Linked DNA regions of Mus musculus: all the other regions are reported to be linked to region 2. The links are microRNA targets in miRTarBase. Many come from high-throughput screens and were not tested one by one. Region 2 holds a microRNA gene; each other region holds the end of a gene's coding sequence.

Region 1 (4,067 bases), not on the chromosome of region 2:
GGGTCGGCCAGTGGTAGCCAACATCGAGCCACTCTTTGACCGGTTGCTCATTTTCTGGTCTGACCGACGGAACCCACATGAGGTGAAGCCAGCCTATGCCACCAGGTATGACCTGTACTTTAGGGATTGTCCAGCTGCTTCCCCTGTGCCAAACATTTCTTAGCTTGTCCCCAGTCCCCAGAGTTGACAGGGGAGTGATGAGATGCTGAGAGGGCCTAAGTGGGACCTGCAAGGGTGGAGGTGTCAGCTGAGGTGGCTCTAGAATGGCAGAAAAGTCATTCTGACTGCCCAATTTTTCAGGTACGCCATCACTGTCTGGTATTTTGATGCCAAGGAACGGGCAGCAGCCAGAGACAAGTATCAGCTAGGTACGTGCTTTCTTCCTTTGTCCTTCCTAGTCCCTGTGTGCTGCCAGGTCCTTAGCCTTTCTTACCCCCTTGGGTGCTGAGAGTGGTTCCCAGGGCCTTTGCCACACTAGGCCAGCACTGCCGCCAGCCCGCTCCCACAGGTCTTTCTCACCAGTCCCTTTGCCCAGTTCTTGCCTACTTTCCTGGTATCCCCTACCTGAGACCCATTTTTTTTTTTTTTCTGTTAATGTTCTCCCCATCTTCGCAGGTTTCTTTTGGCTTCTTTGTCCCTTCCTAGTGATTCACAATTTCTTGTCTTCCTCTCATCCTCAGCATCGGGACAGAAAGGTGTTCAAGTACCAGTATCACAGCCAACTACACCTACCTAATGGCCAGCCCCAGAGCTGCGTGGACCAGCAGCAGCTCCTGCCTCAGTGCCCGCTCCTTTCCTGCCACTGCTGCTGCTTCTGGCTTGCCTCTGTACTGTGTGGTGTGGAGGGCACTAAGTATCACTGAGGAGCAACAAGGAGAGACCTCTGCTGCCCCGTGAGCGAGCGGTGCTGGGTTTTGACCTGGGCAGTGGCCAGTGTGGCTGGCGGTCATGACTGGTGGCTGTGTCTGGTCCGTTGAGTGTAGAGCTGAGAAGAGGCAGGATTTGGGGTTGAGGTGAGTCATGGCCTCTTGCTGGAAAGGTGTGTTGGGGTGTGGGTGTCATCTCACCCTCGTCCCCACTCCTCCGGCCTGGAATGTGAAGTGACTCCCCAGCCCCTTTGGCTGTGGCAGTGTATGGACTGGGCTGCCACTGTCTGGGCAGAGTAGGGTGCCATGACGAGCATGGGTATGGAGGTTCTGCCAGCCAAGAAATAAAAGTTTACCTCAGAGCTGCACACACTTGTATTCCTCTCTGTAAAGAGATTTACACATACAGTTAGGGCAGGTAAGGATATCAGGGCCACTGAGATCACCAGTGAAGCCCAAGCTCAGCGGGCCACCAAGCGGAGCTGGAAGGCTGGGGGCACATTACCCAGACCAGTACACTGTGGGTTAAGGTTGATGTTGGCAGGACTTCCCACAGGGAGCAGGGAGAACTTCTGCAGGATAGCCGTCAGGAAGAGGAAGATCTCGGAACGGGCTAGGCCAGCACCCAGGCACATCCGCTTTCCTGTGGGTGTGGGTGCAGGTGTGGGATGAGCAAGCCCCTGCCAGTCCCCCAGTGCTAGCCACTCAGGTCCCCTCCCTCCTACCCCAGACCTAAGGCAAAGGGCATGAAGGCATCGTTGTTCTGGAACTCGCCATGGTCATCCAGGAAATTGGTGGGATTGAAATGGTCAGGGTCCTTGAATTGGGTGGGATCCCGGTGTGCAGACACAAGTAGGGGAATCACGAATGTGCCCTGTGGGTAAAACAGTGTGACCCACAGACTTGAGTGTGAGCCCCTCACCCAGACTCTTTCTGTTGTTGGCACCTAACACAGGGCCCTGCGGTGCTGGGCAAGTGATCTCACATAGCTACACCCCAGCCCCTAAGGTGGTTGGCAGAGCCTGGGAGGGAGCCCCAGGTACTGGTTGTGTTAGCCCTCACCGAACCTAGTCTCTGAATTGTCCCCTTCTCCCCAGTGCAGAATTCCCAGGCTCCATGTGCACCTTGTGCAGGAAGTGGTTCTTGAGGTTTACGTCTCGGGTGAGGGCCCGGGGCAGCCCCAGTGGTAGCACACTGATGAAACGCTGGATCTCATGTAGCACCGCATTGGTGTAAGGCAAGCGGGCACGGTCCTCTATTCTAGGGGCCCAGGTCCGACCTACAGTGGCGTCCAGCTCCTCTTGCACCTTGGCTGCGGTCATTGGAGGCTTTGAGTTGTGCTTTACTGAGATCCCACCCCAGCCACCCTCTCTTCACTTAGGGGGAGGGGAGGGATGGACCCAGTTCTCAAACCTGCCACCTCAGGGTACTTGAGCATAATGAGGAGCCCATAACGTAGAGTAGTGCTTGTGGTTTCAGTGCCACCAAAGAAAAGATCGTGAGTAGTCATCACCAGTGTCTCATCCTGGAAATGGCTTTCCAGGTCCTGCTGTTCCTGGGAATGGACAGAGGTGCTCTAATGCCTGCTGCTTGGCAGGGTGGGTATGGTTAAGGGTAGCAGGGACTGGTACCTTATCCATTTGGTCGAGGAAACAATCAATGAAGTCACGGGGTTCCCCAGTCTGTCGTGACTGCCAGTGCCACTGAATTTGCTCAGAGATGAAGAGTCGGAGCTCTTGGAAGTTTTTAAATATTCGGTTGTGGGGCCCAGGGATCCAGTCCATGAAGGATGGGAACATATTATATATCTGGAGAGACAGGGTTCTCTCCTTTCCTCTGCTCCACACCTCTCCTCCCCTCCCCTCTCCTTTTCCTTCCTTCCTTCCTTCCTTCCTTCCTTCCTTCCTTCCTTCCTTCCTTCCTTCCTTCCTTCCTTCCTTCCTTCCTTCCTTCCTTCCTCCCTCCCTCCCTCCCTCCCTCCCTCCCTCCTCTCTCTCTCTCTCTCTCTCTCTCTCTCTCTCTCTCTCTCTCTCTCTCTCTCTCTCTCTTATTCCCACTATCCTTGGCTAACCTGGAACTTTATATGTAGACCAGGCTGGCCTCAAATTAGATTCTCCTGCCTCTGCCTTCCCAGTACTGGGATCAAAGGCATGTGCCATCATACCCTGCTGAAATGGTCTTAATAGGGCCCTGGACAAGGCCATGGTTTCTTTGTGGAAAAATTAAATCAGGACTTTGTGTGTTGTAGAACTTTGTCATTAAATCTGTAGCCACTGTAGGTAGGGCTATGCCCCTGGAATTTGGCACAAGGCTGCATGTAAAATGAGAAATTGGAGCCCATCCTCTCACCTCAGCCCATCGGGAACTCATGATACAGAAATTGTCACTGAAGAGGTTTAGGAGCCTCCGGAACTCTGGGTCCCCATAGTCATAGCGCTTTCCGAAAACCACAGTACAAATGACATTGGATACAGCACTATCCAGTAGCTGCTGGGGGTCAAATGGAGCTCCTGGGGGGTGAGAGCAGCTCTGAGTAATCAAGCTGTGGTCCCCTAAAAGTGACATTTAGTAAGATCTGCAGAGGAGACCCTCGTCCTCAAGCCTCTAGCACCCTCACACAGAAGCTGTGTCCCTCCTCCACATAGCTCCATCCATCCCCCCCTTCCCCCCCACCCCCGACCCCAAACCAGGTGGTTATGCTTTCCCTGCCAGACCACACCCATGGTAGCTTGAAATTCATCCAGCACACATGCTGCCTCCTCCAGGATGCGATCCTCAATGGTACTCCTACCCACGCCAAGCTCCCTCAGCACTCCAAGTGCAAAGTTGCGAAGCGAGTGCCAACGCGGCCCGTTAGAAAACACTATGCCTACAGTGGGAACCAAAAAAAAAAAAAAAAAGAGTTGGCCACGCTGGGCCTAGTCGCTCGCTTCCTTGCCGCTCTAAGGATGACTTCTTACTGCTTTGCACTTCCCAGACCATATGCCAAGCACCTCAGCTGAAACCACGCAGCCTGACATCTTTGAGGGTAGGATCCCTGACCAGCTCTTAGGGCTTAGGAATTTAGGCTGCTATTGGTTACATTGTGAACCTCTACTGGACCCCAGGCCTAATAGCTCGTCCTCATTAGCACCATTCTTTATTAGGCACCTCCCATTTTGCTCGGCTTCACTGGTCCTTAGACCAAGTTGAGGGGTCTAG
Region 2 (4,067 bases):
CCCTGGTATGTGTCTGTCAGGAGTGGTGTAGGCAGATGTGTACAACCTCACAGGGACTCCTGCTGGGTCACTCTGCACAGGATTGGGTATCTTCCTCTTAGGAAGCAGTGAACGTGTGCCTGGGTTCACTCTATGAAACATAGTATGTATTAATACTGATCATCATACTATATGTAGCATTCATTATATATTACATATCTGATATTTGTGTTCAATTTTCTTTATTTTTAAAGGAAGTAAGGCTGTTTAGGGGCACTGACATCCTCGTGGGTCTCAGCTTCAAGCTGCTGGATATAGTTCTGTGACTCCTGAGACCCCCACCTCCGCCCTCCTGCCAGCTACTGCTGGCTCTGCCACTGCTACGGATGTCACCCCCAGGAGACCCTCTATCTCTGGAGAATCATCCCGGGTGGGGCAAGGATGTGCAAGTCTTGCTTCTGTAAGACTCAGCGAGGCTTCTGCATGCTGCCTGGGTTTCCAGCTGATGTGTGGAGCCCAGTTTCCATGTGTTGGGGCCACCCAAGGTCCAGCCTGCTCTCCTCGCTGGTCTTGAACTACCTTGTCCTCAAAGACACTTATGCACATCGTGATAACAGTCCCAGCCTGCCCGGAGGGTTGTATCCTAGGACCTCCAGCCTGCAGCATCTCCTTGGCTCCTGATTAACAACCCCAGGAGTCACTTCTTAGATTAGCCAGCAGGTGGCAGCAGAAGGCCGGCCAGGGACCAGGACCTTCCTGGGTACTTTCCCTGAGGCACAATCTGGGGTGCCCTTGAATCCTGACTCCACCCTCTAAGTGGAAGTGTTTTGCTTCCTTTGTAGGTTGTGGAAGTGGGGAAGTGAGCACAGGGTCTCCCTGGGCTGAACCACTCCCCTGCACCCCAGAACTTCCACTCTGCTGAATGCTGTGTCGTACCCACCCTGATCCCCACATGCACCCCTATCTCTAGTGACAGTCAGTTGTCAGAGAAGAGCCAACAGAATGTAGAGAGGGGCACAGGACATGTCAGAGGTCATCTTCCAGGAAGCTACCCTGACTGCAGAGCACCTCAGAGCTCTCGGATGCTCCCACGCTACCCCACTGGGTGGTCGCCGTGTGTCCTGTCCTGTGTCCCTAGTACTTGAACTCTGCAGAGCAGAGGCCATCTCCCACTGCAGCATAGGAGCCAGGAGGTGGGTGTGACTGGCCAGCATGTCATTCTGCTTGCACAGACACAGCTGGCTGTGGTAGCCAGAGGGTGGGCCTGTGTGAGGGTGAAGGGTTGGGGGCTGGGCTGTGCAGAAGAGTATGGAAGGTAGGCTGTGTGATGGTTTGTATATGCTTGGTCCAGGGAGTGGCACTATTAGGAGGTGTGGCCTTGTTAGGGGAAGTATGTCATTGTGGATATGGGTTTTAAGACCCTCACTCTAGCTCCCTGGAAGCCAGTCTTCTCCTGTTTGCCTTCGGAACAAGATGTAGAACTCTCAGCTCTTCCTATGTCATGGTATTCTTCTGCCATGATGATAATGGACTGAGCCTCTGAACCTGTAAGCCAGCCCCAATTAAATGTTGTCCTTATAGGAGTTGCCTTGGTCATGGCATCTGCTCACAGCAGTAAAACCTTAACTAATTCAGCAAGGGATGAAGAGTGGGCAAAGCTCTGCACAAGGGAGGGGAGGAAGGACTACTCCTCTAGGGCTGGAGGCATAGCAAGAGTCAACAGACTTCACCACTGACTACAGGATAAAGAGAGGTAAAAAGGTGACAATTTATCATCCACCATCGATGTTCCAAAGGACAGCAGGGAGGAGACAATGGGGCATGCCACGGAGTGTCTGAGTGTCCACTCCTGTGTCTCTAGCTGCCAACTCCTATACAGCCATCAAGACCCAGCTCAGATAGCCCCTACTTTGGGAAGCCATCCCTGTTGCTCTCAGAGAGTACTCAGAGAGTCCCTCTGGGTACTCTCAACCCTGGGGCTAGCACAGTATCAGATCTTTGGAAATGGCTGGCTAAGTTTGAGAGGTCTGGTAGCTGAGGGTGGATATAGAGGGGCTCTAGGGGTGTTTGGTCTGCCTAGGTGCGTCAATGGAGGTGTGTGGATATGCAGAGTTGAGGCAGATTGGGTTCAGGACGGGAGCTGGGACTCGGGGGATTCATTATGGGGAGAAGGCCAGGACATCAGGGTCAAGGTATCCACCCACGAGGGAGGCCTTTGGTGTCTGGTCAGGTAAGACTAGGACTTTACCTTCCTAAGCTAACACTAGCTGAGGGCTGACCCTCACCCCACTACCACCACCTGAATGAAGGCTTGGGGTCCCTGGAAGAAGGGTATATGACCATTTGGCCCAAGATTAGAAAGCTACATCCACAGCCGTCCCAATACTGTCCCAAGGGAGGCAGGCACGAAGGGACAATAGGCCAGGAATTTCTCAGATCTGGTTAGGACCACAGGCTGAGGGACACTGGAAGCCAGTACTGTGCTCTGAGACTTGGAGTCATAGGGTCTGTTGTTCCACTCATGTGGAGGGGCTTGGGTGTCCAGGGCTTGGGCCACTAAGGGGCACATGGAAGATGAGGGGAGGGTACTGTTCACTACCCAGAGCAGCTCTTGCTGGCAATGTTTCATGCATGCAAACGTGTCAATGTGTGGTTGGCGATCTCATGTCCTCTACGGCCAGTCTCCGTATTTCCAAAATGACCAAAGACCAGTTGTAAGTTCATGACAGAACATCCTTTATTTATACCCAGGTCCCACGTCATAGCCCCCACCCAATCTGTGGCTCCATTTAGCTTGCTGAGCGGGGGCCTCCATGTAGCTGTGTCCCTGGGCGCCTCAGGGAAGGCAGTAGGTTGTATAGTTATCTTCGGAGGGGCAACATCACTGCCCTGAAACCACACAACCTACTACCTCACCCTGCGGTGTCCGTGTTCTGGAGGAGGCCCAGCCGCTCCCCACCCACCCTGGCCACAGGCCACTAGAGCCATAGGGCACAGGGCGGGGTGGGGGAGGGGGAAGTGGAGACAGAGGTTCAGTGAGAAAGGCCTGTGCCTACCAAACAGATTGAGGAAGCCTCTGGTGTCTGAACCCATTGCCCCAGGGACAGGGGACAGTGGCCTACACGGTCCATCTGCAGGCTGTACTCATGGGTGTGCTAAGAATGGCTCCTTTTCAATTTCTTCTCGGAAGAGACGCTTGCTCGTCAGAGGCCTGACCCTGCGCTGGAAAGCCTGGGCAACTCTGGAACATAGTTGAAGGTCTAGTCCAGACCCTCTTTTCATGGAGACCTGTGAGCACAGGTCTGATATGGGGCCAGGGGCAGGAAGGCCCCTTCAGTGTGGGCCAGGGAGAGAAGGTGCCCTGAAAATGCTGTCTGTTTTCATCGCTATGCCCCAACCCTTATACAGATGAGTAACAGCCCAGAGAGGTCAAGGGACTATCCAAGGTCTCTGTCAGGCTCTTTTTGCATGGTAGTTATCACCCCCCTGTCCCTCCCTCAGTCTCCCCAGCCAGGGCCGCCGTTGTATCCACTGCAGATATTGCGGCCACTTCAGGAAAGACAGTAGATTGTATAGTTACCGCAGAGCGGGGCAGAGCCCAAAACCATACAACCTACTACCTCACCCCAAAGGCCGTCAGTCAGTCTTGGCGTAGAGCTGGATGTTGTGGCTTCTTGAGGTCCCTCCTAGAGGAAGAAGGAGAGCTGGGGACATGGTGAGCCCCACCCCCCACCCCCGACACAGGCCGCTCAGTGCTGAGGGTATTAATAGACTGGGATTTTCTCAAAATGGGCCAGGGACATTTAAACAAAATCACAGAGAGAGTAAGGGGAGACGGGGAGACGGGGAAACGGGGAGAAGAGAGAGAAAGCACGGGGCACTGAGCACAGGAATGGCCACAATGGGGGAAGGGTGTCATTTGTTAAAGGCCACCAAGGTCCAGGGTGCTTCCAGTGTCCACCTGGCTGAGACCCAGCCTCTGTCCACTCAACTCTAGCGTAGTAGAATCACCAGGACTCCTGCTAAGTAGTAGCCTTGGGCATGTACCCTCTTCCCCTTAGGCAGGAAGAGCCCCCCCCTCGTGGGCT
Region 3 (4,067 bases), not on the chromosome of region 2:
TACCTGCCAGCACATCTGTTGGAGCCTAGTTCTTCAGGATTCCAGCTTATACAAAAGACCAGCTGAAACACCCAGCCTCATGGGACTGAGCAACTACTAGACTCTTGGACTTCCCATTCACAGCTGCCCATTGTTGGTTAGTTGGATTGCAGCCTGAGTCATTCCAATAAATTCCCATAATATATAGAGACATTCCATAAGTTCTGTGACTCTAGAGAACCCTGACAAGATACCACCCAAGTCTTTATATCACTGCTTGTCTGGACACTGTTGTGACAGTCTGGGTGGTAAAACAAGCTGGGAACAGTTTTCCTGTAGGCGAAGCTCCCATGTCTTCTGTGCTCTGTCCCAGTTGTTACTCTGAGGTGGGGGTAACGGGCATTCCTCCTCAGGGCTGGCTGTTATTCTCTCTCTGGGGCTCCAGTTAAGCTCTGTCTGACAGATGGTCGCTACTGAGAGGACTGCATTGATCCTAATTTTCTTCTTTCATGGTCATCTTTTTGCTTTGTTTTCCAAGAGTGAGAATTTTGTAAGCTTTTCTTACGTTTCAAACTGTTTTTCTTAGTTCCTGTGTTCAGTTCTTATATTTTCTTCTCTTTAAGTTTTGCATTTGTTTATATGTAAGTAGCCTAACAGCATCTAATTAAACAAAAACTCATAATGAATTTATTTTATTTTGTGTGTGTAGGGGGGGAGGTAATAGGAAGCACTCAGGGGCTTTAACTGATATTGAACCAGAGGCCAGAGAATAAAGCAAAAGTACAGAGTCCTTCATCTGGGGTGGGGAGAGGTGGAGGGTGAAATTTTGTTTTTGCACAAAAACCCAGGCCTCTCTGTAGAGGGTGTGCAGGCCATCTGCAGGCACAGCAGAGCCCCTAAGGGGCACAGCCTGAGACTCCTGTGGTCTGGCCTCTCTGTCCTGGCCCAAGATTGGGCCCTGTTTTATTCTCTTTACTATATAAATAGAATTTCATAATGAATTTATTTAATAAAACAATCAAGCTGGAAGGGTGGCTCAGGGATGAACAGTTGCTGATCTTGCAGAGGATCTGGGCTTCTTTTCTAGCACCCGTATGGCAAGATTTACAATAGCCTGAGACTCCAGTTCCAGAGGATCTGACCACCTCTTTTGGTACTAGGCACCCACGTGATTCACATACATTCATGTAGGTACTCATAGGCATAAAATAAAAAGTTTAAAATAGAAAGTAAAAAAAGTGAAGGTGCATTCTATATTGCACAGTGATCTCACCCATTGCAGAGACGCAAGAACCATAAAAATAATTTTTAATTATTTATTTTTATTACGTGCGCTGGTGTCTTGCCTTGGTCTGTGTGAGGGTGTCAGATCTTGGGAGCTACAGACAGTTGTGAGTTACCATGTGGATGCTGGGAATTGACCCTCATCCTATGGAAGAGCAGTCGGTGCTCAACCACTGAGCCAGCTCTCCAGCCCCTGTAAAAATAGTTTAATGGAAAAGGAAGCCAGATGTGGTGGCTCACACCTCTAAACCCAGAATTCAGAACGTTGATGCAGGAATGTCAACGAAAGTTCAAAGCCATCTTGAGTTACATAGCTCCAGATCAGTTGGACCTGCTGTCTCCACCAAAATAGTTTTTTAGAGGAAGAACAAAGATGTTATGATTACAAATACAGCAAGCAGAAGAAGCTACAATGAGGGGCCATTGAGACAGCCCAGCAAGTAAAGATACCCACTGTCAAACCTGCTGACCTCAGTTCAATTCCAGGTCCCTCCACGTGGGAAAAAACAAGTTACCCTCTGACCTCCACACATGTGCTATGGTACAGGTATGCCTCTCCCACCAACACAAAAGGAAAATTAATCTTTAGAAAAATTTAGTGCTCTTTATGTGTGCTCAACAATCTCTGCCTAAATCCTTTATAGTAACATTAAAATATAAAAATAAATCTACTCAAAAGACATGAACAAGCCGGGCGTGGCAGCGCACCCCTTTAATCCCAGCACTCGGGAGGCAGAGGCAGGCGGATTTCTGAGTTCGAGGCCAGCCTGGTCTACAGAGTGAGTTCCAGGGCAGCCAGGGCTACACAGAGAAACACTGTCTTGGAAAAAAAAAACAACAAAAAACAAACAAACAAACAAACAAACAAACAAAAAGACATGATCTTTGTCAGAAAAAAAAAGCTTTATTGAAAATATTGAAGGCTGGCATGGTGGTGCACATATTTAATCTCATTGCTTAGGAGGCAGAGTTTGAGGCCAATCTGGTCTAAATAGTAATTTCTAGGCTAACCACAGCTACAAAGTGAGACCCTGTCTCAAAAGTAAAACTATTCATTGAGGAGATAAACCATGTTCGTGATCTGAAAGGTTGACTTCACAGACGCTTACTTTCTACAAGCTAACACGGTCTACTGGATCCCGCTTATTTCAAGGTGGGCTTTCATTGGTGAGATCTGAGGAGCTGATTCTCAGACTGGTATGGAAGAGCAAGGGCTCCTAGGGCGTGATTCCCACTACGTGGGGGGAGTGTACATGGGGTCGGGGTGAGGTAGGAAAATGACCAGTGGAAGAAAATAAAAAAGATTTGGTTAAGGTATATTCAGATCTCCATGTGGAAGAGAAAAAGAGGACCATATCACTACATGCAGTAATTTGGACACATCTCAGAAACAATATCTTGTTGCCAATGGTACCCACACATTACATGTCCATGCATACACCATGCTCTCTCTCTCGCTCTCTCTCTCTCTCTCTCACACACACACACACACACACACACAAACAAATGTTAAAATTACCCTTCATGAACTCTGGAGTGCTTGGAAGCTAGTTATTTTGGCCCTGATGTTCCTTTTTCACTTCAGCTGTGCAAAAGTAAAGCAGATTCAAAGACCAAAGACCAAAGACCAGGCCTCTCTGTGAAGGGTGTGCAAGGCCATCTACAGCCACAGCAGAGCCCCCAAGGGACACAGCCTGAGACTCCTGTGGTCTGGTCTCTCTGTCCAGGCCTAAGATTGGGTCCTTTTTAATTCTCTTTACAATAATAAATAGAATTTCATAATGAATTTATTTAATAAAACAATCTAGCTGGAAGGGTTCAAATCTAATCTCTTAGGCCAGTCATGGTGGCAAATGTCTTTCATCCTAGCACTCAGAAAGGAGAAGCCAGTGGACTTCCTTGAGTTTGAGGCCAGTAAGGTCTACATTTCTACCAGCAATCTTGTCACATGGCCTAGCAGGGCTTTTCTATTTCTTACAGAACAAAGATTCTAACTGTGGTCCCGCATACGGGTGAGCTGCTAGAGCTCCCTCACCCCCTGCTGTAGACATGTTTCTAGTGCTAATCTCTAGAGCACGTCTGGACTCTCCTTGCCTGGATCCCACCACACCCTTCCAGGGCCAGAGGTGGCAGAGCCCTGGCCCATTGGGATCTCAGGCCTTCTGTAGTCTCCAGGCCTGACATGGGACCTGGGAAACAGCAACCAAAACAACAAAGTGAGGTATAGGAACCCAGCAAAGATGGAGGAGGCCAAGAACCAGGTTGGCACTTTACTACCCTGCAGAGGGGCAGTCGGTCAGGCCAAGTAGCCCCCTTGCTAGACCATCCTCTGCCAAAAGGGCCAACTACAGAGATAGAAGAGCCCACATTGGGCAGGTTCAAAGAAGGAGCTAAAGCTGCCCACTACACACATGAAGGGGCAATCGGGCCTTCCTCCTGCGGCTGGCATGAAGCTAAAAAGTTCTCAGTTCGATCCTCTGCCCTGTTCAGTTCTGGCTCTACCTGGACTCAGGAAGTCACAAGACCCACATCACCTGGAGTCTGGAAAGAGATCCCATCTCCAGGCAAAGGAGAGGCTAGAAAAGGCCAGAACCAGACTAGGGCCCAGCGAGGCCCCAGGGCTGCCTGCAGGTTGTGGCAGGTGCCCAGGTCATAGCAGTGGTGACCCCGAGCCCACTCCCAGGTGGTCTGTCCCCGAAGCAGCAGCATCCCATGGAAAAGCAGCCCAGCACCACACAACAGTGCACCTGCCACACACGTGTCCACCACAAAGGCCAGGGCAAACTGGGCCAGAGACACTTTGC
Region 4 (4,067 bases), not on the chromosome of region 2:
CTGTTCTTATAAGAGTTGCTTAGGCCATGATGTCTGTTCACAGCAGTAAAACCCTAACTAAGACAACTTCATATCAGAACTTTTTTTCTCGTCCAAAAGCTAGTCACACGCCCCCCACTTTCCCACACCACTACACCTGGCATTCTTACATGGATTATGAGAACTGGGCTCAGGTCCTCATGCAAGCACTTTACTGACAGAATTCTCTCTCCGCCTGAGAGGTTTTACAAGTGTATTCTGCAACCAGAGTTTGGAGTCAAGTCTCACACTAGTCTTTGCAAGGGATCTAACTGGTAGACAGCACTTTCACCGAGCGAGAAAAGGGTACTCAGAGCAGTATTTAATGCCTGCAAAGGACTGTGGATTCTGAATCTTAACAATCCCGTTTTGTATTTTGTGTGATTGAAGGCCATACGGAGCCATGGAAGTACTGAAAGTATTCAAAACATTTTGATTCTTTTGCCTGCCTCCTGGGATTCAACACTCGACCCTCACAGGACTCAGCTGAAAGGGGTTCACATAGGCACTAGCAAGAAGGATGGAAAGTCCTGTCATACTTAACATGTAGCCAGTAACTTTGTTAAGGCTGAAGGCTCTTCTGAAACCTATGGTCAGAATAAGGAGGGTGATAGCAGAGGCTAGCCCTGGAAGTGAGATTGCCTCCATCTCCTTGTTTTTATCCAAGGTACAAGAGTTATACAGGATTCTTGAAAAGGCTATTTGCTCTAACTTTCAAAGCATAGCATCCCTACCACCTCCCTTCGTTCCCTCCTACATAGCTATAAGTATAATCTCCTTACAGCTCTATCTGGCCAAAATTTATAGAACATTTAAAATCCCAGATAAGTGAATATATCTTCATGTTTTATTGCACAGGCCTGAGATAGAGAGAAACAATGAGACCCTTAGTGGTGCCTTCTCCAGCAAACAGTCAAAGAAGACAGTCTTGGGGGTTCTGGGAAGTCTACAAATTTCTTTATTGCTTTTTTGATAATATAAAATGTAGTATTTGCAAACAGATCTGAATCACTTCAATCAGGAATTTCATTTAATTTCATTTAAAAATTAATCACAGAGTTTTAAATTATTCAATTTGCAAACAAATCCCATCTACCTCAGACACTAATTCCACTGCAATCTTCATCAATCATCTTGACACAAAATTAGACTCTACCAGAGCCTCCAGGAAGGCAAAGACATTGTGTTTTCTCCTTTCCCTGCCACCCTTGCCAAAGCCAGCCCGGGAAACCAAAGAGAGAAAACAGCGCTGGTCTCAGGGTCTATCTCGGTGACCCCATACATTCATAGCTTTTTTTTTTTTAAGGGGGCCTCTGTCTAGAACAGGAAACGAGTAACATCTGGCCAAAGGATCCCAACAGAAGGAACCTGATAAAAATGAAAAAGATGCTCCTGATCCACAGTGCTAGTTCTGAACTTCTCATAGGCAATGGAGGTCAGCAGGATTGCAGTAGCTACCAGGTCTAGCTGAGGCCTAGTCAAGAGTCCACATTCACATGTGGCAGGAGCTCTACCGGCCTTGCTTCACCACCCAAGCCAGCTGCTGGGTACCCAGCCTGACTGCTGAAGTAAGACACTGCAGCCTTCCTGCCACAAGTCACGGGACACTCCCTGAAGATAAGACAGCAGATGGAAACCCATTTCATTTTTGTTTTTCCAGTTTTACCCATTTGAACTTCCAAGGAGACACTGACCTCTGGCCTCGGGAAGTGATAGGCAAAGTTAATTATGTTCTTCAATGCTGGGTGGGGTTTTTTTCTTTCTCTTTTAAGTTTTTTTTTTTTTTTTTTTGAGTGAGATCATGACCTCATGTAGTTGAGGACAGCCTTAAACTCCTTCTTCACAAACTTCAGGCTCTCAAATGTTGGGAGGACGGGTATGTCCACATATCCACCTCAGAAGTGGTCTTAATATTGACAGCATGTGGTCTCCATCTTAGCCTGGCAACCTCGGGAGCCAGCATGCAGAGGCACATGAGGCCAGAGTGAACTCATGACTTCAGTTGCAGCTAGTCTCAGAAGACCTTGTGTTGCGACTGTACTGCTTAGCTGTAGTTCAAGAGTTGGAAAACGGCCACTGCTGATACACCAACAGTCTCCAATAGGATGGATGAATTCCTCTTTGATCTGTGATTTGGTGAAAACTATCTGTGAGGTATGTTTTGTGTGTGGGAAAAGGTAGAGAGAAAGAATGACGTTTAAAAAAACAGACAAAAGCAGTGTACCTTATATTAGTTTCCTCAAACCAAGCAAATGTCTGTGCTGAGAAGAGGACCAGAGAGATACAAGTCCGCTGAAACAAGCTCGGGCACTCCCTCTGGTGCTAGCTCTGAGATCTCACACACAAAACTTTCCTTTTAGAAGTAGCTCTCTCCCAGGATATGGACTGGGATTCCCAACGGTCATGTTCAAATGAGTTGAACAAGGTGACAGGGATATGAGGAAGCCTCAGACTCACCTTGAGGAAGCAACTCCAATGTCACAGACTGGAGGAAGCAATGAAAACACAGCACCAAGCATGGACGAGAAGCCTGGCGCCTGCACCAGTTCTCTCTGAGCTGGCTGCATAGGACAGGGCAAGCCTCTGCCCCAACCCCACTGTCTTAGGTGCAGGAGGAAAGGCAGAGGCACAGCAGGGAGACCCAGCCTCCCAGATGTCCAAGCTTGGCTCTCCTTCACCAAGCAAACTCCAATGTACAAAGCATATGCAGAGCCTCTTTCTAGCTGCAATGCAGTCAAGTGTTTGAAGTATTCTCAGAAGAGCTAAAGCTCTGAAGTGGACTGAACTGTTAAGTCACACCATGGGCTGTGTGAGGGTTATCCGGGTGCAGGTGCTCGCCCAGAGGAAGTGCTGCTCACCTCTATCAAGGTTTCTCTTTAGGGACACTGTGGAATGTGCTCAACACAACCTGAAAACCTGCTTTCCAGGGACTAGGATGTGTCCAGTCACAAAAGCCCCATCTTGTGTCAGGGGCCACGTGCAAGCTGGAGCATCTTCCTGAGTGATTCAGCGAGAGTGTGGCAATAGAGAAAAGCACTTTGAAAACACATGGACTGGATGGGGAGTGCACACTGCTGCGGTTAGAAGGAAGATACCCTCTTCACACGCGCACACACACTCACACACACAGGAACTTGACCTCCTGCCCCTCCTCTTCCTGTGCCCCAGCTGTGGGGGAGCTCAGAAGTGCTACACAGACATTTCCCCCAGCAGGCTGGCCCCGTATCTCCACTGTGTCTCCTTGCTAGAAGTGGTGCTGGTGGAGGGGTGCAGGTGAGGGTCCTTTCTCCAGTCTCTTGACATGGCAGGAGTGACAGAACAGGTGGTCCTCCAGTGGATAGCAGCGGTGACCGTCCTCGTCATTGAGCTCCAGACCACAGTCCTACAAGGAGGCAAGAATGTTCCAGAGAAACAAAGCAGACTGCGAGAATAACATGAAACCACAATCCACCCAGTCACTAAGGGGGGCTGTGTGGTTGTCGGTAGCTCCTGTCCAGTGAAAGAGCCAGTGGCTGCTTGTGACCACGGAGCTCCTCAAATGCGATTGGTTGGAACTGAGATGTAGCTTCAAAGCAAATACATACCAGGCTTCTGAGACAGAAGGCCCAAAGATAGAAAACTATTTTTCTTGGGCCACAAATTTTTTACGAGCTACAAATTGAAATGATAATACTATGCATCTTTAGGGTTGGTTAATTAATCCCACACATCCCCCGCCCCTCTTTTGAGACAGTGTCTCAGGTAGCCAAGGCTAGATACGCTCTGTAGCCAAGGATGACCTTGAACTTTTGATCCTCCTGCCTTGAAGATTGGGGCAGCATGACCTCTGGCTTTTCTGACAGTCGTGAGGCACTCACGGTTTTTCCAATGTAGAACATCGCACAGGTCAGAGAACCCCCAGCCCCAACCCCAACCCCTCACCTTAAAACCAACCAATCAATGTACCTATTTCCAGAAGGGGTTTCTCTCTCATTTCCAGGGCTCAGTTCAGACAGATGTTTCTGACAGAACATTCTTTACCCAGGAGGGAACGACACCTCTTCCTCCTA
Region 5 (4,067 bases), not on the chromosome of region 2:
CCACCCTGCGATCTACAAGACACGATGAAAGTCATTATTAGGCTACTGGCACCATAGAGAGCCTGGCTTAGAAAAGTTGTTGGGTCTTTTGAAGGTGAGGAGTCTCTCTGCTAGAAGGTAGAGATGAATCTTTATCAAATGCCTTCCAAAACACATAGAACATTCCTACTGGAGTCCCTTCCAGATTCTCTTTAGGAACAAAAATAAACTAATAGGTCATAAGCAGAGGTATTTCCAGACTATTTTTTCCTGGAAAATTGTTAAAAGATAATTATCTATTAATAAAATAAAAGGTCATCCGTATTTATGTAGAAATGTGCCCAAGCCCAGGACTGAGAAGACTGAAGACCCTCATGTGGATGTCAATGTAAAAACCCCACGTTTCTAAAGCAAAGGTATTCTGTTACTAAACTGAAGCCAGCACTGTTTCAAGTACCCGCTGTTCGTTACCTTCATGTTTTATGTCCTTAAACTTACCTAAGAAACCAAAAGTGTCTGACTGCCTGGCATCTTGCTTGTCTCATTGTTTAGTGCAGTAAATGTCAGACTCTGCCTCAATAAATATAGCAGCTACAGAATTATTAATATATGGTATCAATGCCAGTGCTTAGATACTGTAATATAGACATGTAACATGCACACTCTACAGACACATTTGCCATCAAGAATATACATTAAACTCTCAACTCTTCTTAACAAGAGAATCGATTCTATAAGTTGTTCAGATTGACATTTTAGTCAGTTTTATAAGCCATACCATAAAAAACAAAAAAACCCCACAAGCTGACATTCATCAGCTAGGAGCAAGAGTACGGTAGAGGAGAAATGTTACTATGGCTTCATGATGTTTAAACTGAAAGGAACTTAAGAAAAAGATTAGGAATTCTAACCAGAAATGGAAAAATAGTATAAATTTCAAGAAGTATTTTCTATAGGCCTTTTAATCTTAAAATTCTAAGCATAAAGTTTGTTGGCATTAAGTTTGGTATAACAATTTATTAGTAGGCAAAACAGAAATACACTATACATATCCTAAGTTAATTATCTTAAACTAGCAAGACTGAATAATATAAATGCATTCTAAAAAAGAAGCCATTTAAAAGATAAAACCTTATATTTTAGAAAAAAAATTCTTCCCCTTAAAAAATCCTTTTAAATAAGAATTAAAAGTAAGGGCTTCACTCTGGCATGTGTGAGACCAAAGGTCAGGAAAGGGACAGGGCCCATGCGACTCCCTAAAGCTCCTCATGTGAATGTGCAGGGGCTGAAAAACATGTTTACTTCTACTGAGCAAACACAACCCAGGCAAAGACTTTTACCATGGAGCCTGCACCACTCTATTCTTTTGGCCATGCTCCCCGACAGCCAGGCATGATGGAAGGAGCCCAATGGTTCCAACTACCAGAGAGGTTAAGAAGACTGCTGGAGCCCAGGGGTTGGAGGCCAGCATGGGCAATAGAGAGAGACGTTGTCTCCAAAACAAGCAAGCAAACCAACCCACCCCAAATATGTTGTAAGGAGTTTTCTTTTGCCAGGGTTGAGATGGGAATATTTTGGAAGGAGAAAAATGTATAAACCACATGAAAATCCTTTGTAAACAGTAAACAGCTTTAAAACAGTATTGAGAATCGAATTTTAGATACTTCAAGCAATAAAAATATAAAATACAGTACTTTCTTTATGTTCTGGCAAAGGGACAGAAGAATTCATGCCTGTAGGACATGGCTCAGATTTTATATTGAAATGTAGTAAATTGGCTACAATGTGGACTAAAGAGAGCAAATGAAGACATAACTGCATTCCTGTTCATGGCGGGGTGGGGCTTCTGAAAGGCCGACAGTGCATTCCACAAACATCTGTAGTGTCTGTCCTCAGAGCCAGGGTGGGGACAACAGAGAAAACTCACATGCAATGTTCATGACTTACAAAGTGCAAAGTTCCCTGAACCTGCCATTACTGAGACACTCAGCTTTGACAGCTCCAACGTTATTAAGGTTATTGATTAAAGAAGTGGAGAAAACTAAGTTTTTGCAAAGTTTTCACTGTATTTCGGAAATTTTACTAATTTTAAATGACCAAAGTCCTAATTTCCTTCATCATTGCCATCTTATTTTTAAAGAGAAAGTTATACTGGTAAAAAGATAGAAAAAAATCATCCTGTATTTTCTCAATTCCTGTTAGTCAAAGAAGCACAATTCTTCAATAAGTAAGAAAGAATATTTAAATCTTAAGCTGTTCACTGTCATTTTTAAAAACTTAAGTTCAACTATGCTTCTGACCTCACAGCTGAGGCGCCTTTGATCGGTTTTACTCCTTTGGCTAAAATTATTTTAAGGAATTGCTTTAAAACTGAAAATTATGAAGCTCTCCTTCTGAAATTAAGGCTGTATTACTTTGTTCCCTTTAAACTACGGATGTCTGTTCTTCCTGCTATCCACGGTGAGGATGACAGACAGAACTTTCCTGTAAAACTGCTTATTGCACTAAAAGAGAGCAAAAAACTGTCTCCATTCTTAAACACGATTCTAGTTCTAGAAAAGATATAGCCTATATAGTTTATAATTATTAAAGCACTATTCTAATGAACATAAAGGCAAAGGGAGCTATACTTCAATGTGTGTGTGTGTATGTATATATTTATATGTGAGAAAATCACATTAAGGTATAAGGGCAGTGAGTAAACTAGCAAAAAACAAACCAAACCAACCCTAATTCCTTCCTTTTTCCATCCTATCGAGTTTTGGAGGGATTTCCAGGTATAACTCATACAAACAGAGGCTTTAGAACATTTGCACTGATCAGAAAGATGTCCGACAAGGTTTCGTATTTAGAGCAGCTTTAACAAACTCACTACAAAAAAGAATCCCCAGGTTGCCACTGTTTCCAAACACAGTGCACATGTGGTAAATCCAGAGCAAAAGGGAGCAGACGCTCACAAACATGGCGTCAGGAGCTGAGGACTCCTGTGTGAGTGAAAGGAGCTAGGAATAGGGACATAAAGAAAACCAGAAGTCTAATTTGTCAAACCTTCCTTCAAGTGAACCATATGTGTGAACATAGGAATGTCACTTGTAGCTATAGGGACCAAAGTATAGATGCTGAAGGCAAGGGAGACAGTAAAGGAAACGAGTGCGGCCTAAGGAGGGATACAAGGAAAGAGTTCTCCAGGGAAATGAACTATAAGATATACACACAGACACATATACATCAGTAACCTAGATCTAGATACATATGCACATGAAGTAATGTGAGGGTATTGAAAATACAGACTCCTTTACAAGAATAGATGCACATTACTTTTTCTGCACATATAACTGAACAATCATTATTTGTGTAATTGTGTGTTTTTAAACCACCATTCAATTTTTCTTTACTTTTTTGCAGAGATAGTTGTGCTGCTAAGCAACTTGAGGTAAAGGCATTAAAAGGGTTAGACTGTAAGAAGTGAGAATAAACAATGGTGATGCATCTTCTACAGGAGACTGCAAAAAAGCAGCGGCTGGCTCCCTAGTGTACAATGGTGCTGCGTTCTTTGACAGTGTAAACGATTTTCCTTGGATCAACATAAGGACCTGACCTCTACATAGTACTGGCTTCTGTATGGCTGGAGGCCTCCCCAGCAAATTGACTCCATTGGAAACATACATTGTATGTTGATTCACTTTTCATCTCTTTGTCACGGAGAATAAACTTGGACTTGTTAAGCGAAGTACATTGTGCGTAAGGTATCTTGGTGAATCTGTACAGCCTTGGCAAGAGCTTGTGGATCTCGCCCATTGCTCTGTCCTGAAACATGGCTTCCTTCAGCACTGTAAGAGATGGGTTAATGAACACAAACATTCTGCTCCAATATAATAACTCTGAAGAATATTACATATTGTAGGAAATTCCAAAAATACTAGAAAATAGAGACTCATGTAGTAAATTTTGTGTCTATCATTTAGCTTTAATATGGCCAATTGTATTTTAGCTCTTTCATTTTCTCAGGATTAATTAGAAACAAATCCCAGACACCATATCATTTTGTCATATATGTATATGTGTGTGTGTATATACATATACACACA
Region 6 (4,067 bases), not on the chromosome of region 2:
TGAACATAGAGCTCTTTACAATGACGAACACTAAATGTTAGGAGGTTGAAAGAGTTGGTTTGTGTGGTGATTAAAATGTTTAGGTAAAGACAGAGAGAGGAATAGCCTTCTTCCTGGATTCTGAAGCCCACTTCTCAGCTTTTAAGACCTATGGTTTTCTTTTGAAAATCTGATGAAAAGTTAATAGCCCCAGAACCGTGTGTACATGGTCTGGCTGGTGGCAATGCATACTTCTAAAGCAGACCTCTACTACTTGTTTGCAGATTAAGAACTTTCCTAATGTCTGCAAAAACACTTTAGAATCCTAAAATAATATCTACTTGAAATCATGTCTGAAGATGAAAACCATGATTGTTTGTAGCTTTTTAATCAACTGCAGAAAATTTAGTGATGGAGCTCAGTTAGTGACTTGGGAATGAGAAACTGCAGTCCCTGTGACTCAGGACGTGTGCATGAATGCTTTTAAATCTAACCATCCCTTTCTCTGTGTGTCTTTACTAGACGTACGCAGCAGTGCTGTGGCAACAAGCTGAGGACAGCAGACAAAGCTCAACTGGAAAAGCGTGTTTTGGCACCTCTCTCCCAGAAGAAAAACTCAATGACTTTCGTGATGAGCAAATTGGACAGTTGCAAGAGCTGATGCAAGAGGCTACTAAACCCAATAGGCAGTTTAGTATCACTGAGTCTACAAAACCACAGTTGTGATACATGATCTTAACAAAGTGGCTACATTTATAACCTGTTACCTCATCTACCATTGACTCTCTAAAATATATTCTTTCAGCTACAGAATAGTCTCTTATTTTTGGACAGTATGAACAATGCATGATCAAAATCATAAATGACGCACTTGTCATCATTGCAATGACATATTTATTTGCTGTGTGGAATGTAGTTTTATGGAATTTAATTTCTGGACTAAAGAAAGGTGTTAAAAAAGATATACTTTGGGATTATGCTGAAATTTTTTTGTATATGAATTTGTTTTAAATTCTATCCCCATCAAGTGTTAGCCTCCTGATTTGTCTCTAGCTTCATCAGTTAAATAAACATATCATAATAATGGAAGATGTAGAATTCCAATAAGTTTGCTATTAGACATATTGTGATTCTGAAAGTCCCACCATTTCTCCTTTAGTAGTACACACCTGGCTATCACTCAGAATTTCATCTATGAGTCACGTTGAAAGTTTTAAGAAAAGCCTTAAGATTCAATTGTTAAGAATTTCAGTTATTGTCTAAAGGTTGGGGAGATGAAAAATACTAAGTTGGCTCATACATTTAAAAATAAATTATCTATCAAAACCTGCATGTATGTTGGGTGACCTACTGGATACTGATGTGACACAATTTTTGCCAGGCAGCTCGCTCAACTGGTAAAGTGTTTGCTGTGAGAGCATGAGGACCGGAGTTCAGATTTCTAGTACCCACATAAAAAGCAGACATGGAGATGCAGGCTTTAATGAGAAAGCAGAGACAGGCACATCCCCGTGGCTCACCAGCCAGTGTAGCTGAAGCAGTGAATGTCAGGTTCAGTAGGAGATCTGGTCTTGAAAGGAGTAGATCAGAGAGGAAAGATAGGCTCTATAGATTGACTGCCTGTGACACTTGTATAAAGATAGGTTCTCTAGATTGAGAACAACAGAGAAGTGTCTTGTGGAGGATCCAGTGTGGTCTAGGTCAGCAGGCTATTAACCTGCTGGGCAGAGAACAGCTTGTGCATCCCTTCCTGTGAAGGAGCAACCCTGTGTGTTTAACGTTCCACATTTGCCTAGTGCTTATCTGTGAGCACAAGGGTCTTCATACCTCCTAGATTGAACTAAAACCTTATTTCCAACATTCTAACCTGTGTTTCAAAATATATGTGATCTTTCTAATCATATTAAAAAGTAAACTTTTTCTCAATATACTGGATGATATTAACATATACCCAGTTCATCAATTAATCTGCAGTTCAGCTTAGATGTTACATTTCCCTAGAGTCCTCCTCATTATGAATTCTGATAACACCGTCTGGTAGATTGCACAGTAGTCCTAGATCCCAGCCTCTCTTGATAGCCATTTCTGTTGTAAGTAAGTGTGTAACTTCTCTCTCCCTCATCCATCTCGCTGGCCTTGGAACTTGATTTGCTCAAACAAAACAAAACAAAAAACAAACAAACAAACAAACCAAAAACCCCAATGTATGGTCCAGACTTTAAAGCCTGGCACATTTCCACCCTTGCATTAGAAACTTGCTTTCCTGGCTGCCACATGGGCTACCCACCAGAGGACCCATGCCCGTGAGGGAGACTGGACCACCCAGCTCAGCCAGCAGCAGATCCATAAATAAGACTACTGAAATTTCGCTTTACAAAGACATTTTGAGACATGGAAAAATCTCTGGTGTTACTAGTAACCAAGAAAAGATGCTTTGAAATAGAATTTTCATAAAGCATTAGGTTGTCTTTTCAGTAACATGGTGGACTCTATACAGGTAATCACCTTTCCTACTAGAAACTCAAACTTTTAGGTGGAATAGAAAGAAACACTCGAGTTGCCGGTATCCTAAGGGATGAAGGGACTTGAAAGTCAACTTCTACAAGTAGAAAGCTGAAGCTTCTGCACAAGTGTGTTGCAGGTTTGATTTTGATTGTCCCTGAACACAGTGTATGCCAAACACAAAGCTCAGAGCCCACCTGAAGTGGAAGATCTCAAGGAAATCGTTTTTCCTTGAAGCCAGTACCATTATAACCGTACACTAATGGTTAGAGTAAGGAAGAAGAAAACCTTCTGAATACTTGGGCAGTGATGCAGGCCATTGCAAATTCAATGGCTAAAACAAAACGTTTATGCTATAAAGTTTGTGTAAAGTGGTCTCCAATAAGTACTTGAGAAATGTAAACCATTTGGGAAGACACCAGATCCACAAATAATTGTCCTAGGGAATGTCATAAGTTTACATAAACTCACAAGGTAAATTAAACCCATAAATAACTGAGACAGACCACAAGGAAGTTCAGGTGTTGGGACTAACACATGTGCAATACAGAACAAAACATTTGCAAATAAGAGGTAGTTAAACTGTCTGTCGGAAATAAAGCATCACACGTTTGAAAGACCAAAATAGAACTCAGAGAAATAGGAAGGGATTAAAAAAAATCCTCAGTGGACAGGCTTTATAGTTTGGGAGGGCCTTAAATTATTAAAATTCAGGACAAAAGATGCAGAGGCTATGGCACATGAAAGCATGATTGTTCATCAACAACAGTCTAACATATATCTAGACTGTGAAATACTGAGTCAGACCATAGGAAATACCCAAAAAATAACTTCCCCAACATAATATTTTTATTATTTTTGAATTTCATATCATACATCCCAATCACACTCACTTCCTAATCCTCCTAGGTCCACCCCTACCCTTGTGATGCCCCCCAGAAAAGAAAGAATACCAATTTATTTTGCCCACATACTGGTACATGATCAAACTCCCAGTGGCCAGTCCCTTAAAGAAAACAGTCCTTCCCCACCTGCACGCTGCCAGAAGGCATCAGTTCTAGAGAGTTAGGCTTCAGCATCCTTACCACATTTACAACAGTTATCTTTGATAGTTTCCTGTTCAGGCTCTTATTGTTTCAGGGGTATGCAGAGAAGGGTTGTCACAAAAACCTATGTCTCTTCTCAACTATGCATCTGCAGTCATTGATACCACTGCAAATGTCACTTCTTTGCCCTTTACAGTCAACAGGAGCACAGATCATGGACTTCCACATGGTTTTTAGTGACAGCATGGACCACAGACCAGACGAAAGTCTAGATAACCTTCAAAAGAGTTATCAGTGAGTACAGGCCAAGTCCTGGAACAGTCCTGGTGGCCCAACTCATTGCCTCCTTTCTTTCTCCTTTATAGTTCTCAGAAAGTGTTTGGAATCTATTGGTGATGCAAATCTTGAAACAAAAGGATACATTTAGAGCAGCCTGGCTCCTCTTTCTATCCCTCCTGGAACAGGATGTCTTTCACCATGGTGGCTCAACACAGATCAGGTCACCCTTAGGATCTGAATTCCACAGTGAACTTTCTCTGG
Region 7 (4,067 bases), not on the chromosome of region 2:
CAGCCCATCATCCGATTTTCAACATTAATCAAAACTCTGATGCTCTACTGGCTGTGTCTTGTTCTCAGTTAATAGGAGGCTTCCTGGACCCATATACAGCAACAATGTGTATCAGAAAACTTATATTGAAGTTAAAAAAAAAAGCTTTTCTATGAGCAGCATCTAGTATCGTTAGCTCTTTAATAATTGGTTTCTTCATTTCTTCTAGAAGTAGGATAAAATGGTATTAAAATCTCAAGTTAGTCAAGATTTTCATATCGTTAAGGACGTCTGGAAAGGAAGGCAACAGTGACTGGGGATAAATATGTTGCTAACATGTTATCTATAGCACAATTCAAGTTTATTCCATTTGTTCTTGCAACACGAAACTTAAACACAGTATTAGTTAGCATTCGGATGTACATGAACTAGGATACTTATGAGAAACCCAACTGTGTCAAGGGAATGACATTGTGGAAACATGAACTCAAATATACCAAAAGTGCACAAAGCACTAGTCTTCCTCCATACTGCTTAGAAAGATTGTTTCTCCATTTACAAAATAGAATCAGGACAATTTAAATTTTTTTAAATTTGCATGCAAAACACTGCAATTGCTTATTTATGAAGGAGGGCACTCTTACCAGCTTCTTCTATACACAACCCAGTATACAATATTACATGAAGGAAACAGCAGCTCAGCTGAAGTGAATAAAAATCAAGTACACATATATTGAAGCTCCTTTTATCTGGCTGGGGAAAGAAAGAAATGACTAGAAGGCTACTTGTTTTAGCTTTCACATGCTGCAGTTACTGCCTTTCTTCTGCGCCCAGCTGGTTCTGGAAAGGTGAGCTTGTGCACATGGGATATGCAAGTGCTGTGTTAGAACTCAAATCTACATATGCTGGCATGAAGCTGGGGGTGAGGGTAGGGGTGGGCAGACCTGTTAGTACACTAACCATGTTCAGGCAAGTAACCTGTTTTTGATACAGTGCATATGAAATGATGGATTTTAATATAAAACTATAGAACATGCAGGGTTTTTTTCTGAGATGTTAAATAGTACTTCAGTGGAAAACAAAACTTAACCTTTTATTAATGCGTGTTGTACCAAAAGCAGACATTTTAGCTTCATTTATTCAAAAATATTAACATTAAGTGTCATGAATTTCTCTGCCAAGTGGTTCAGAAATACATTATAAATAACCTAGTTTTTTTTTTGTTTATTTTTGTTTATTATTTTTTTAAAGAAACTGTAAACCATCCTGGTCAGTCTATCCTAGTCTATGTTTATATGCTATTTTCTCAAGCAATCACTTCATAGCTATGGGTTTACAAAATGGCCAACAAAGGGGGAAGGCAAAATAGCCTCTACTGCATTACAAGGAACACTGGGATAAACTGTACAAAGAATCATATGGTTTTGGTACCATAATGACTGTAGAAAGCAGACCCAAGTTCTGGAATGATAAGACAATATACACTCTGCAATAGCCAACTATAACAGAAGACTTTGAAAGAAAAATTGAAAATTGTGTAAAGGGTAAAATTCAAGCCTTTAAAATAGTATGCCAAGAGGTGAAAACAAAGGTCTCAAAACACCCTGTTGCATTATATTGACTCATAGACTGATCATGTGCCTTCCACTTCCTAGCAGAATGTCCAACTCTATAGCTGCTTGGCCTTTTGGTTAAGATTAAGTGTAGGATATCCAACTCTAGTAGGCTGCATTAAAACAGCAGAGCTAGCCAAATATATCAAAGTATTTAAACTACTGTTTTGTGATTGTTTTCTTGGACATAGAAAAACTACAGGGGCAGGCTAGTTGAAAGTGAAAAAGCCACAGGATAAAAAAGAGTTCATGGGAGAACACACACACACACACACACACACACACACACACACACACACACCCCAACCAATTATCAACTGATTAATAGTTATTAGCCAGGCTGATTGTTCTTAGTAATAGTTTAACCCTGCTATATAATGCTACAATGCCTTAAAAAAAATCAGTTAGGTTTTTAATATTATTATCCCTAATGTGATTATAAGTCCCTATCCCATCACCTACCCTTTAAAAATTTGAGGTACATTCAATTATTGCATGATTGGCTATGGAAAGATTCTAATAGTTTTTGTAATCCTGTATAGATGGCAAATTAAAAGCAAAAGACATCTTAATACTTAAAGTGTAGGCCATCAAATTTAAGGTTGTATGTTTTAATTCATTTTATTGTTCATGAAAGAAAAAGTTAGAGATAAGTTTCTCTTATCTGCAGGTCCTAGGAATACCGTTTTAGGGCACTGTATTATAAGAACACAGAATGCATTTTGAAGTTGTCACATGTATGCAAAGAATGATTGTTAAGATAAAAACACCATGCAGGTGGGGTGGTACTGGCCCAGCAAGAGTCTATTACCAGCTCAGGAGAACATGGTAACAAGAATGTTTTTGAAGGGATGAGGTCCCATCTGTCCAAATACAGTACATCTCACCCCAGTGATACCTTTGGTGCACTATAAAATCAGCATCCATGGTGGGTTTTTGAGAGGCATTCCAAAGAATATTCTTCATTCTCCAAACACAACGAAGGCTGGCTCACTCAAATAGCAAATGAAGAAACTCCATAGGTACTAAGACAACTGTTCTCTCTTTATAAGATACTAACACGCTTATGGCTATGATTTTATTTTTAAATCTCCTTTACTACCAGAAGGAGTCTCAAAGTGTTTCAATGTTATATAAATGTCTGAGTCTAAAGGAGAAAAAAAGAAATAAGCCTACTGGAATGATTCCTCCTTTAGGCTCCTAGAATTTAACATTTTATAAATAAAACTAGTCAGTTTTATCTAAAGAGACATGAAATTGATGTGAAAGGGGAGAGAAAATCCAAAGTTTAGTCATCCAGCAATTCAGGAGTGCGCTGCTCCTTACCTTATCTAAGCTCTTATGTAAAGATTAACGTCATTCTAGAGAGATTTTGGTCACTAACCGCTCTTAACTAGCCAGGAGCCCCCAGGAGAGTGCATTCTTAAGGCAGAAGGCTATAGCTAATTGCTTATCTCAGCACCCTATGTTGACATAACAGCAGCCACTACTGCTCACAGCTAGGGCTACCAAATAAGTAGAGTTGGCCTTGTATAGTCAGACCTTCAATAAACTAATTAATAAATTAGCTAGGGAGCTGAGAAGGTCCAATGATTCCAATAGACTGTATTTTTGCTCTCCCTTGGGAATAAGCTGTATATTTTACTGGAAATGAAAAACAGGCTGGTTTGATCAGGAATCCCAGTAAAAGTCTCATCACATTCCCCACTGCTCCTCCAAAACATGTTTTATTCCCCTCCCCTGGCAGTCTGATTTGTTATGAATTTCTCTCTCCCTTCACCCTCTTAAAGTATTTAGCTGAAGAAGCTGGCAGATAGAAAGTGACAGACAGACAGGCAGCAGTGTGAGGCCACAGGAGAGTCATCCTTCCCAAGTTATCAGTCCGTCCATCCATCTATCACTGGAGAAGAGCTTTGATTGCCTGGTTGTCAGTGGCTTCAAGGGCGGTCAGTCCATCTGGGCCTTTCACAGTCTTATCAGCACCCTGAAAAAGAGAGGAGAGAACCTTCTTTAACTGAACTTACACTAGGGAACAGCAAGTGCCAGAGGTGGCTATGTGGCATAGGCCTTTTTTATACTCTGATTCCTAGAATCCATGGTGGAAGGCCTGAACCAACTCTGGACAGTTGTCTTCTGTCCTTCATACTGAGCTATAACACATACATGGCTATACTCACATACATACAATAATAAGATAAAAATATTTTAAAATGCATTTTTTTGGTGTTAGAAATTATAAGAAACAAAACAACTGTCTTAATTACTGTTTTGTTGCTGTAAAGAAACACCATGACCAAGGCAACTTATAGAAAAAAGCATCTAATTGGGGGCTTGCTTAAAGTTTTAGAGAGGTAGTCAATGACCATTATGGTAGGAAGGAATGAGAGCAGGCATGACACTAGAGGAGTAGCTGAGAGCTTACATCTGATTCATAAATCCAGATTGAGAGATTGGGAATGGTGTAGGTTTTGGAAA

Evidence for each region. Region 2 holds the annotated microRNA mmu-let-7b-5p (UGAGGUAGUAGGUUGUGUGGUU, at 2,873-2,894, opposite strand). A microRNA usually pairs through its seed, bases 2 to 8, with sites in the 3' UTR of a target mRNA and lowers its output. Matches are read on the target gene's strand: a 7mer-m8 pairs with bases 2 to 8, a 7mer-A1 pairs with bases 2 to 7 and ends in A, and an 8mer does both.
Region 1: miRTarBase lists Egln2 as a target of mmu-let-7b-5p. Seed matches in the 3' UTR shown: 7mer-A1 at 1,220-1,226.
Region 3: miRTarBase lists Zdhhc24 as a target of mmu-let-7b-5p. Seed matches in the 3' UTR shown: 7mer-A1 at 3,481-3,487 and 8mer at 2,529-2,536.
Region 4: the mRNA of Limd1 is a reported target of mmu-let-7b-5p. Seed matches in the 3' UTR shown: 7mer-A1 at 2,169-2,175.
Region 5: miRTarBase lists Ago3 as a target of mmu-let-7b-5p. Seed matches in the 3' UTR shown: 7mer-A1 at 3,409-3,415.
Region 6: the mRNA of Sdhaf3 is a reported target of mmu-let-7b-5p. Seed matches in the 3' UTR shown: 7mer-A1 at 744-750.
Region 7: miRTarBase lists Mtpn as a target of mmu-let-7b-5p. Seed matches in the 3' UTR shown: 7mer-A1 at 2,067-2,073.

Annotation. Positions count from the first base shown.
Region 1 is chr7:27,155,825-27,159,891 of GRCm38, reverse strand. It overlaps Egln2 (egl-9 family hypoxia-inducible factor 2), which reads left to right. Exons shown (of 6, transcript NM_053208.4): 4 at 1-105; 5 at 301-368; 6 at 681-1,234. The coding sequence ends at 736. It overlaps Cyp2t4 (cytochrome P450, family 2, subfamily t, polypeptide 4), which reads right to left. Exons shown (of 10, transcript NM_001100184.1): 4 at 3,586-3,735; 5 at 3,216-3,376; 6 at 2,498-2,674; 7 at 2,280-2,421; 8 at 1,991-2,178; 9 at 1,599-1,740; 10 at 1,328-1,509. The coding sequence ends at 1,328. Among named protein-coding and RNA genes, the nearest start is that of Cyp2t4, 4.1 kb to the right of the region's middle.
Region 2 is chr15:85,706,152-85,710,218 of GRCm38, reverse strand. Mirlet7b (microRNA let7b) reads right to left here and starts at 2,900; the gene lies at 2,816-2,900. It overlaps Lncppara (long noncoding RNA near Ppara), which reads right to left. Exons shown (of 2, transcript NR_110483.1): 2 at 2,695-3,665. It overlaps Mirlet7c-2 (microRNA let7c-2), which reads right to left and starts at 3,616; the gene lies at 3,522-3,616. Gm34622 (a long non-coding RNA gene) reads left to right here. Exons shown (of 3, transcript XR_384306.3): 3 at 234-1,348.
Region 3 is chr19:4,883,476-4,887,542 of GRCm38, reverse strand. It overlaps Zdhhc24 (zinc finger, DHHC domain containing 24), which reads right to left. Exons shown (of 3, transcript NM_027476.3): 3 at 2,146-4,067. The coding sequence ends at 3,772. It overlaps Bbs1 (Bardet-Biedl syndrome 1 (human)), which reads left to right. Exons shown (of 17, transcript NM_001033128.3): 17 at 1-661. Among named protein-coding and RNA genes, the nearest start is that of Zdhhc24, 6.8 kb to the right of the region's middle.
Region 4 is chr9:123,518,439-123,522,505 of GRCm38, reverse strand. Limd1 (LIM domains containing 1) reads right to left here. Exons shown (of 8, transcript NM_013860.2): 8 at 954-3,400. The coding sequence ends at 3,263. Among named protein-coding and RNA genes, the nearest start is that of n-TRacg2, 9.0 kb to the left of the region's middle.
Region 5 is chr4:126,341,774-126,345,840 of GRCm38, forward strand. Ago3 (argonaute RISC catalytic subunit 3) reads right to left here. Exons shown (of 19, transcript NM_153402.2): 19 at 1-3,809. The coding sequence ends at 3,701. Among named protein-coding and RNA genes, the nearest start is that of Tekt2, 18 kb to the left of the region's middle.
Region 6 is chr6:7,038,353-7,042,419 of GRCm38, forward strand. Sdhaf3 (succinate dehydrogenase complex assembly factor 3) reads left to right here. Exons shown (of 2, transcript NM_001077713.1): 2 at 502-868. The coding sequence ends at 705. Among named protein-coding and RNA genes, the nearest start is that of Sdhaf3, 84 kb to the left of the region's middle.
Region 7 is chr6:35,508,742-35,512,808 of GRCm38, forward strand. Mtpn (myotrophin) reads right to left here. Exons shown (of 4, transcript NM_008098.4): 4 at 83-3,576. The coding sequence ends at 3,490. Among named protein-coding and RNA genes, the nearest start is that of Mtpn, 29 kb to the right of the region's middle.